Mus musculus: one gene and its partner. The protein of the gene in region 2 interacts with the protein of the main gene of each other region in a biochemical or structural test. Links are inferred from orthologs where the notes say so. Each region holds a gene or a part of one and is shown on either strand. Other genes may lie near its edges.

The links.
Region 1: the proteins of Eif4e (region 2) and Ipo8 form a complex in vitro, tested with the Homo sapiens proteins (2 studies listed by BioGRID and IntAct, with this or other methods). The link is inferred for Mus musculus from reciprocal best matches to the Homo sapiens genes EIF4E and IPO8.

What each region holds. Positions count from the first base shown.
Region 1 is NC_000072.6:148,772,436-148,776,084, forward strand, and holds part of Ipo8 (importin-8), read right to left. Parts: intron 2,659-3,649; coding exon 2,542-2,658; coding exon of another isoform or gene 2,534-2,541; intron 1,729-2,533; coding exon of another isoform or gene 1,714-1,728; intron 375-1,713; coding exon 355-374; coding exon of another isoform or gene 54-354; 3' UTR 1-53. UniProt on the Homo sapiens protein: Involved in nuclear protein import, either by acting as autonomous nuclear transport receptor or as an adapter-like protein in association with the importin-beta subunit KPNB1.
Region 2 is NC_000069.6:138,525,276-138,529,024, forward strand, and holds the start of Eif4e (eukaryotic translation initiation factor 4E), read left to right. Parts: upstream 1-915; 5' UTR 916-1,019; intron 1,020-1,145; exon of another isoform or gene 1,146-1,210; intron 1,211-1,644; exon of another isoform or gene 1,645-1,653; coding exon of another isoform or gene 1,654-1,663; intron 1,664-1,992; coding exon of another isoform or gene 1,993-2,021; coding exon 2,022-2,039; intron 2,040-3,089; exon of another isoform or gene 3,090-3,749. UniProt on the Homo sapiens protein: Acts in the cytoplasm to initiate and regulate protein synthesis and is required in the nucleus for export of a subset of mRNAs from the nucleus to the cytoplasm which promotes processes such as RNA capping, processing and splicing.

The DNA of each region.
Region 1 (3,649 bases), on a different chromosome or scaffold from region 2:
TGATTCTTCATGGCAAAAACCTGAGACATGCGCCGATACACAACTCTAACCCCTCAGCGTTCAGCCTTAAGAGCAGACGCTTTGTCCTTTCCAATCAATGACTCTGCTTTTTTCAAAATTTCGTACGTTACAGTAGCTGTTAAAAATATATATACTCCAGGGTAAGAAGGGTCAAGGAAGGGAGAGCAGGCCCGTGGCCGCCTGATGCCAATGACACAGCCTCTTATTGCCTTCTTGGCCCTCAACCCATGTACTAAGCAGCAGCGGTGACGCCGATCGGTGAACGGTGGATGCGCCTTCCAGTTGTTGCTGGGCACGACTCCAAAATTAAACGTGGAGAAGATGCTCTTGTCCTCAAATGTGAAACTGCCCTGCTATTAGGGGGAAAAAAAAAAAGTGAGGAGGGAAGACATGAAAGATTGCTTCAGGTGAAAGTACTGAAAGTAACTTTAAAGAACCAGCCTTTTATGATAGTAGGCTGCTTTGTTTTGTTCCAGGCAGGGCCTCATGTAGCTCAGACTGACCTCTAACTTGCTATCCAACTGAGGATGGCCTTGATTCCTGATTGTCCTGCCTCCACACAACCAAGTGCTAGGATTACAGACACCATCCTCCCCTCCCAGGCCTGCCTCTTTTTATGTATTTAAAACTTGAGAAGAGCTTGATTCCTGGTATTAGTTTGCCACCTAACTAAAGCCCATTTGCTAGCATAAGAGAAGTGTAAACAGTTCTATAGCTGCAAGCCAACAGCTACAGGCTACACTCCTCACAGTTGCTAACAAAAGATGCATCACTCCTCTCCCCCACGCCCTGATCCAGAACCGTCCTCACCCAAAACTCCCCAGGTCTCCCATTGAAATACTTTGTAAGCACAAAATCTTTCCCATTAACAACCCAAGGGTAAGCCCGAAATCCTAACATTAAACAATTTCTCCTTCTTAAAAACTGAAAATTAACAGTCACCAACACATGAATCCCAAACAAATACAAATGAGAATTTGCTCTGGTTTAGGTCAGAAATGTCCCCTGAAGTCCACATGCTGAACACATGGTTCCAAGCCTATGGAACTACTGGGAGGTAGAACCTTTAAGAGGTGAGGTGCCACTGGAGGAAGTGAGGTTATTGGGTGTGCTTTTTTAAAGATTTATTTTTATCCTTTGTGTGTGTGTGCGCGCACATATACACGTTTATGCACCTGTGTGAGAGGGGCTTATGCCACATGTGTGCAGGTGCCCAAGAAGCCAGAAAAGGGCATCAAAAAAGGAAACTGGAGCTACAGGTAGTTGTAAGCCATCTGATGTGGGTGCTGGTAACCTAACCCAGATTCTCTGCAAGAATAGCAATAACTCTTGATTGTTGAGCTCCTTTCTCTGGCCTCATGGGGTGTGCTTTTGAAGGAGATTCTAGGACCCCAACCCCATCTCCATTCTGCTTCCTAGGTCTCTTGAACCGAGTTACTTTCCTCTACTTCACACTCCTCCCATAAGGTGCTACCTCACCAGAGACCCAAAGGCAAGGGGACCAAGTGGCCAGGGGCTGAAACCAAGAGCCAAAATAAAATCTTCCTCCTCATAAGTTGATTTCCTTAGGTACATACATTGATAGTAAACTGATTAATGTGGCCTTTCATTTTCAGGAATACAAGCTCCTTGTAAGATCTACTGAATGCTTTTAGTTCATGTGTGGTTGAGATGTTAGGTTCTCAACAAGACCTGTCCCAACCCTTTCTTCTCCAAAACATCAGGAGGATGTGAATGGGGAACACACTAACCCTTACCTGTGAAATGGTATTGACAGAGCTACTGTGATTTAAAACAAACAAACAACAAAGCATCAAACTAGGCCTAGTGGCACAGGGACATCCGATAATCCCAGCTACTCGGGAGGGTGAAGCAGGAGGGATCACAGGTCCACAGTTTATGCTACGTTTGAGGCTAGACTAGCCAACTTTGCAACATCTCTTAAAAGGAAAACAGGTAGGCATCGTGGCACACACCTGTAATCTGAGCCCTCAGGAGGGTTGAAGCAGAAGGATAGTTGAGTTTGAAGTTAGCTTAGGGTACACAGTGAGTTCCAGGCCAGCTACAAAGTGAAAACCTGTCTCCAGAGACAAAGAGGGGGTAGGAGGAGGAAGACGAGAAGGAGGGATAGGAGGGGATGGAAGAGGAAGAAGAAGAGGAGAAAGAGGAGAAGGACTAGGATTGTAGCTCACCAGCTCACTAGTAGATTATTTGTTCAGCATATACAACGCTGAGTTCAAACCCCAGCATCTCAAGTAGAGAGGAAGAACAACCGTTCAGCCCAGGAATAGCAAAGTAGTAACTCTAGCGCATACAGATAAAAATAAATTAAGAGGATTATGAGTTCAGGCCAGCCTAGCTACATGGCAAAACCCTGTCTTAAACACAAAACAAGCCCAGCTATATGACAGTGGAACTCTTCATTATCATGAAGGGCTCATTTCATGAAGCCATTTTAATCACGTAAGCCAGATGGTGGCCCTCGGACACACAACTCCAATATGGAAAGGACTGGCTGACCTGCCAGTGTCCTTCGGTGCTCTGCCAACGTGTACACCTCCTGCAGCTTTCTTTTCTGATCCTCACTGAGTGGTGCCACCAGCAGCTGGTACCAGGCAGCATCCCGATTCTGCACAGCTACAGCATTACAGGGGGGTTGGAGGAGAAAAGGTAAGAGAGCCAATGACCATTATTATCTCAGGAAAGGTAAGCAGCATGACCAAATCACATGAGATTATGTCAGACAGTAAGAGGCAGGATCATGAGTCTGATCCCAACAGTCATTTCCGAGGGCCTACTTGATACCCAACTATGAGGAGCCCCAAGGAAAGTCACTTTCACAAATCAGTGGTTTCCCCAATTCTAGAATATTCTATTCTATTCTTTTTCTATCTTCTTCTGGAAGTTTTCCCAACTATTCCCTAAAAATCTGACACAGGGAAACATCAGGGCTTCCTTGTTACCATCCTCCTTGGACTCTGCATACTGTCTTCCACACCAGCTCTGTTTCTGCACTGAGGACCCAAGTCTGCACCCTTGCACAAAATCCTTCCCTTCTCTTCCCAGACTTTTCCAGATAAATACTTCAAATTTAGCACAACTATAGAGCAAAGTTTAACGTTTTCCTTCTAAATGCTCACAATTCCCCATTTCTCTCACTAGCTCTATTGGCCTCTCAGGAAACCACTACAGACCTTTCACATCTGTAACCATGCCCAGCCCACATCCAGTGCTCTGCCAGTCTCTTAAAGCCTCTGCCTACATACCTCCCCTATCCAGTTCCATACTGTAATTCTGATCTAACAACCTCACATTGCCTGTGTTCCTCAAGATTATGCACTTTGCACCTAATAATCCCAGAAGTAAACCACCGTATCATGTTAACAGCTTTTAGAAAATCACTCCACTCTGCACTGGACAAAGGGCCTAGATCCAAGGCAGCCACTCTCAGTCCTGCCCTCCTTCCTAGGGACTTCTCAGAGGCTTTTTTTTCCCGGTGGTCTGTCCAAGCTTGTCTAAAGATGGCCTTCTGTCTACAGAGGAGCTTCTAAACTGTTGTGCATACTTAGGTTACATTTGAGACCCAAAAGCTGTTGAGGAGGTCGGATGCATGCCATACCTACAGACG
Region 2 (3,749 bases):
TCTATCAACTGAGCTACAACTCAGCACCCTAATGCTGTCTTCTCATAGAAATTAACCAGACATCACTTTACAGACAACAGAAAATAAGGGGTCAATTATAATTACTTTGGTTAGTGTTAACAGATTTGTACATAGAAATTCACCTATGTGTTTAGTTCATAGAGCTATGTCTACTTGAGAATCTACTCACGCCAACTTAAACAGAAGCTTTCGTTTAAAATCACTTCTGCCATCCTGGTAAACAAAAACACGAGCAGGCACTGGCTTTGAGTTCTTACACAGCCTCAATTATGTGTTAGTCAACCCAAGCATCCATTATGTACTCAATAATAGCTATGACACAGCTCTGGACAACAGCAATGCCATGGAGAGGCAGACACGAGATAGCCTGCTTACACTGCTTTTCCTGGCGGTAACATTTTTAAGCTGCGTGGAAGCCATGAGATCCTGGCTCCCTCATTAGGAACTTTACCCAACAGTGCTTTGACGGCCTGGTAACTTAGAAGAAAATGTAGCATGCCAGTTCTGTTTGTTAGTTGTTATGAACATAAGTTCATGAACACGAAGTTTCTGTTGAGAGCAGCTACATTCCCTTTAAAACTGCATCGGTGTACGCAACAAAGTAAAGAAAAGAAAATTTTAAGACACTGTTAAGGCTTGGGGATATAGCTCAGTTGGTAGAGTGCTTGCCTAGCGCTCAGGAAGCCCTGAGTTCCATCCCTATCTCAGCAAAAAAGTGCTCTCCCAACCCACCCCCACGCCCAGCACGCGCCAGTAATCCCGATACTTTGTGGGGGGGAGGTGGAAGCAGGAGGATCGACAGTTCAAGGCCATCCTCCCCTATACCTCAAGTTCAAGGCCATCCTGCGCTTCAAAAGACCCAGGGTCAAGAAGCAAGATTGCTAAAACAGCAGCGGAGGCGGAGGGAGCTGGTCCTTAAGGAAGGCACGCGCTTGCTTCTAGATTCCGAAGCGTTTTCAAAGCTGGTTACAGTCCTTACCACAGCACACCCTTGTGAGGTAAGTGTATTATCATCTTTGGTTCATAAATGAAAAAGTTGAGGCACTGAGCGTATTAAGTCACTCGCCTAAGGAGTATGAGTCAACGTCAAGAGTCATAGTTGACCCGGTTTAACGACTCCTGACCTTCAGTCCAGGGCTGAGTCAGCGGAGCCCCGAGTGGCTTCCCTGGCTGGCACCTGGACGTAGGCTATTTCCGTCCACGTCCAAGCAGAATACTGGAACCGATTGGACAGAACTTCCAAACTTTCACGTCCAGCAAGATTCACCCCTGACGCCTTCATCTCAGGACTGGGAACAGGAAAAGCCGACGCGTGCACTCCCCTTCCCCAAACGAGTGAGAGGGTACCGTGGGGCAAGCCCGCCCACCCGCTTGGGCAGCGATGGTAGCAAGGGACCACCCGCGTTAGTGGACCGGGGACTGGGGAGACGCAGACCACATCAACGACTCTCCATCGCCGCCTCTTTCAGAAACCAAGAGAAAATGGTGGGAGGCGAAAAGAAAAACTAAATAAAAAGCAACTTGTCTTAGGACCTCAGCTAAGCAAATGAAGCCTTCTTGCGTGTGCTGAGCCTGCAGTTCTCAACCTTCTAGGAAAGATGGGAGGACTGGGCGACAGAAGGCACAGCAGGAATGCCCCGCAGTGAGTGCAACCGGAGCTCTGCCCGCTGCCCAGCAGAGGCCTAAATCCAACTCGGCAGGAAGCGCCCGCGGCGCCGGGAGCCACGCACCCTCGCCAGCGACCACGTGATCACTTTTTTTTTTTTTGGAAGAAAAAAAAAAACTTCTTGCCTTAAGAAAAAAAAAAAAAAAAAAAAAAAAAAAGACTCCACTTCCCAGAAGCCTCTCCTTCCCCAAGCAGCTGCAGTCTTGCGCAGGCGCCGCTAGGGCCAAACGGACACGTCCGTCACGTGGGCAGGAGCCGGCCAATCCGGTTTGAATCTCATTTTTTTCCTCTCGCCCCCCCTTCAGGAGCGGTTGTGCGATCAGATCGATCTAAGATGGCGACTGTGGAACCGGTGAGTATTGCCTTCGGCCCCCACCCCCGAGCTCCCCGCGCTCCGGCTTCCTCCGCTCAGGGACTCCCGCAGGACGGCGTTACCGGCGCGCACGGCGCCTCCCGCCGCGTCCGGTCCCTGCCCGCCCCCGGCCTGACCTTCGGCGGGCAGCCTCGGCGCCGGGAGGCTGGCGGCGGCAGCGTGGAGCGCACACGCCGTGTGGGGGCCCGGGCACCGGGGCGGTGGGGGGAGGGGCGCCGCGCGGGGCCGCGATGCGGCGGGCGGAGGGCGGCTCGGGACACGGGCGCGGGGATCGGCGTGGGGTCCCGGGGTCTCGGGGGGGCGTGGGGCGGGCGGCTCCTAGCGGGCACCGTGGCTGGTGGGCGGCGAGCCGGCCCGAGAGAGCCGGAGAGGGAGCCCGAGGCAGCGGCGCCTCGCCGTCGCCGGCGACCCGCCGCCGGGGGTCCTCGTGCGGGCCGCGCTCTGGAGCTGCGGAGGAGGGTGGGCTGGCGGAGCCCACCGGTGGGCGCGCGGGAGCTGGGCGGGCGCGTCCCGCGGGGAGCCGGGGGCCGTGGCGTTGAGTAGGGGAGCATGCTCAGGGGTCGTGTCGCGCACCTCCCGGCGCCGGGGACAGGGGCCGGCTGAGGTGGGGATCACATTGTCCTGGCCCCTCCACGCCGGGACGGGGCTGTCATGGAGGAGGGAAGGGGGAGGAGCGAGGCCTACAGATCGCCGCCGCGGGTCGGCTGGCCGGAGACCTGCATTTCACACGCGCCGGGCTTTCCATTCATTCATCCTCGGGGCGCAGCGCGCACGCCTCCGAGGACCGGGTAGATTCTTCCGCTCTTAAGCCACCACCAGATCGTCTGGGAGATAGCCAACGAACACTTAATTTTAGAAATAGGAACTTTCAAGATTACCTTTTCTTAAATTAAAAGAAAAAACATTTTTTTTTAAAGCATGGTGGGGGCAGTGGCGCGAGCCGCGACTTGCGAGTGGAGGTCAGAGGACAGCTTTTAGAGTCCCGAGGATCGAGATTCAGGCGCTTTTCTCGAACCATCACTTAAGCTCATCAGCATTTGCTTTTCCATTTGATGTTTCCTTCTTAACTTTATACTGCTTCCCTCTTAATGAAAGCGCTATTTTGAAATTAATTGAAGCAAGATGCACATAGAGCATCACGGCGTAACTCCGGTAGCCCGAAGGTGGTGATTTTTTTTTTTTTTTTTTCTTCTGTCATGGTTTGGGTTTGCCAGCAGCTGGCTCACTGGCCATCCATCGCAGGTTTTTTTTTTTTTTTTTAAGGAATGTCACACATGTGTGAAAGTCTCAGGCGCATAAAGGCATAGACTAGCAACCAGAAACCTCTGTAGAACACCTTTGCCAGATGTTTTAAAACTCACCGATAGACTGAATATGAATAATTTGATATGTTTGCAAAATGGCCTTATCTTGGCAAAATTCAAGACAACTTTTTGGGAGTGGAGACATGATTTACTTGTTCTTTATTGACATCAGTTTTCCTGGCATTTTGCAAAACTGCATCATAAGTTGTTGGTGAAATTAACTTTAGAATATCAATGTAAGAGCAAGAGGGGAAGCATTTAAATGTAACCTAGACTCTTGACAAGTTCTCCTGTCTCCTGATTGAATCTTCTACTTTTCTCTACCAGTGTTAGAGGAAAATATTACAGATAATAATAGAGGCAAAGCTAAGCAATAAACAGCAAT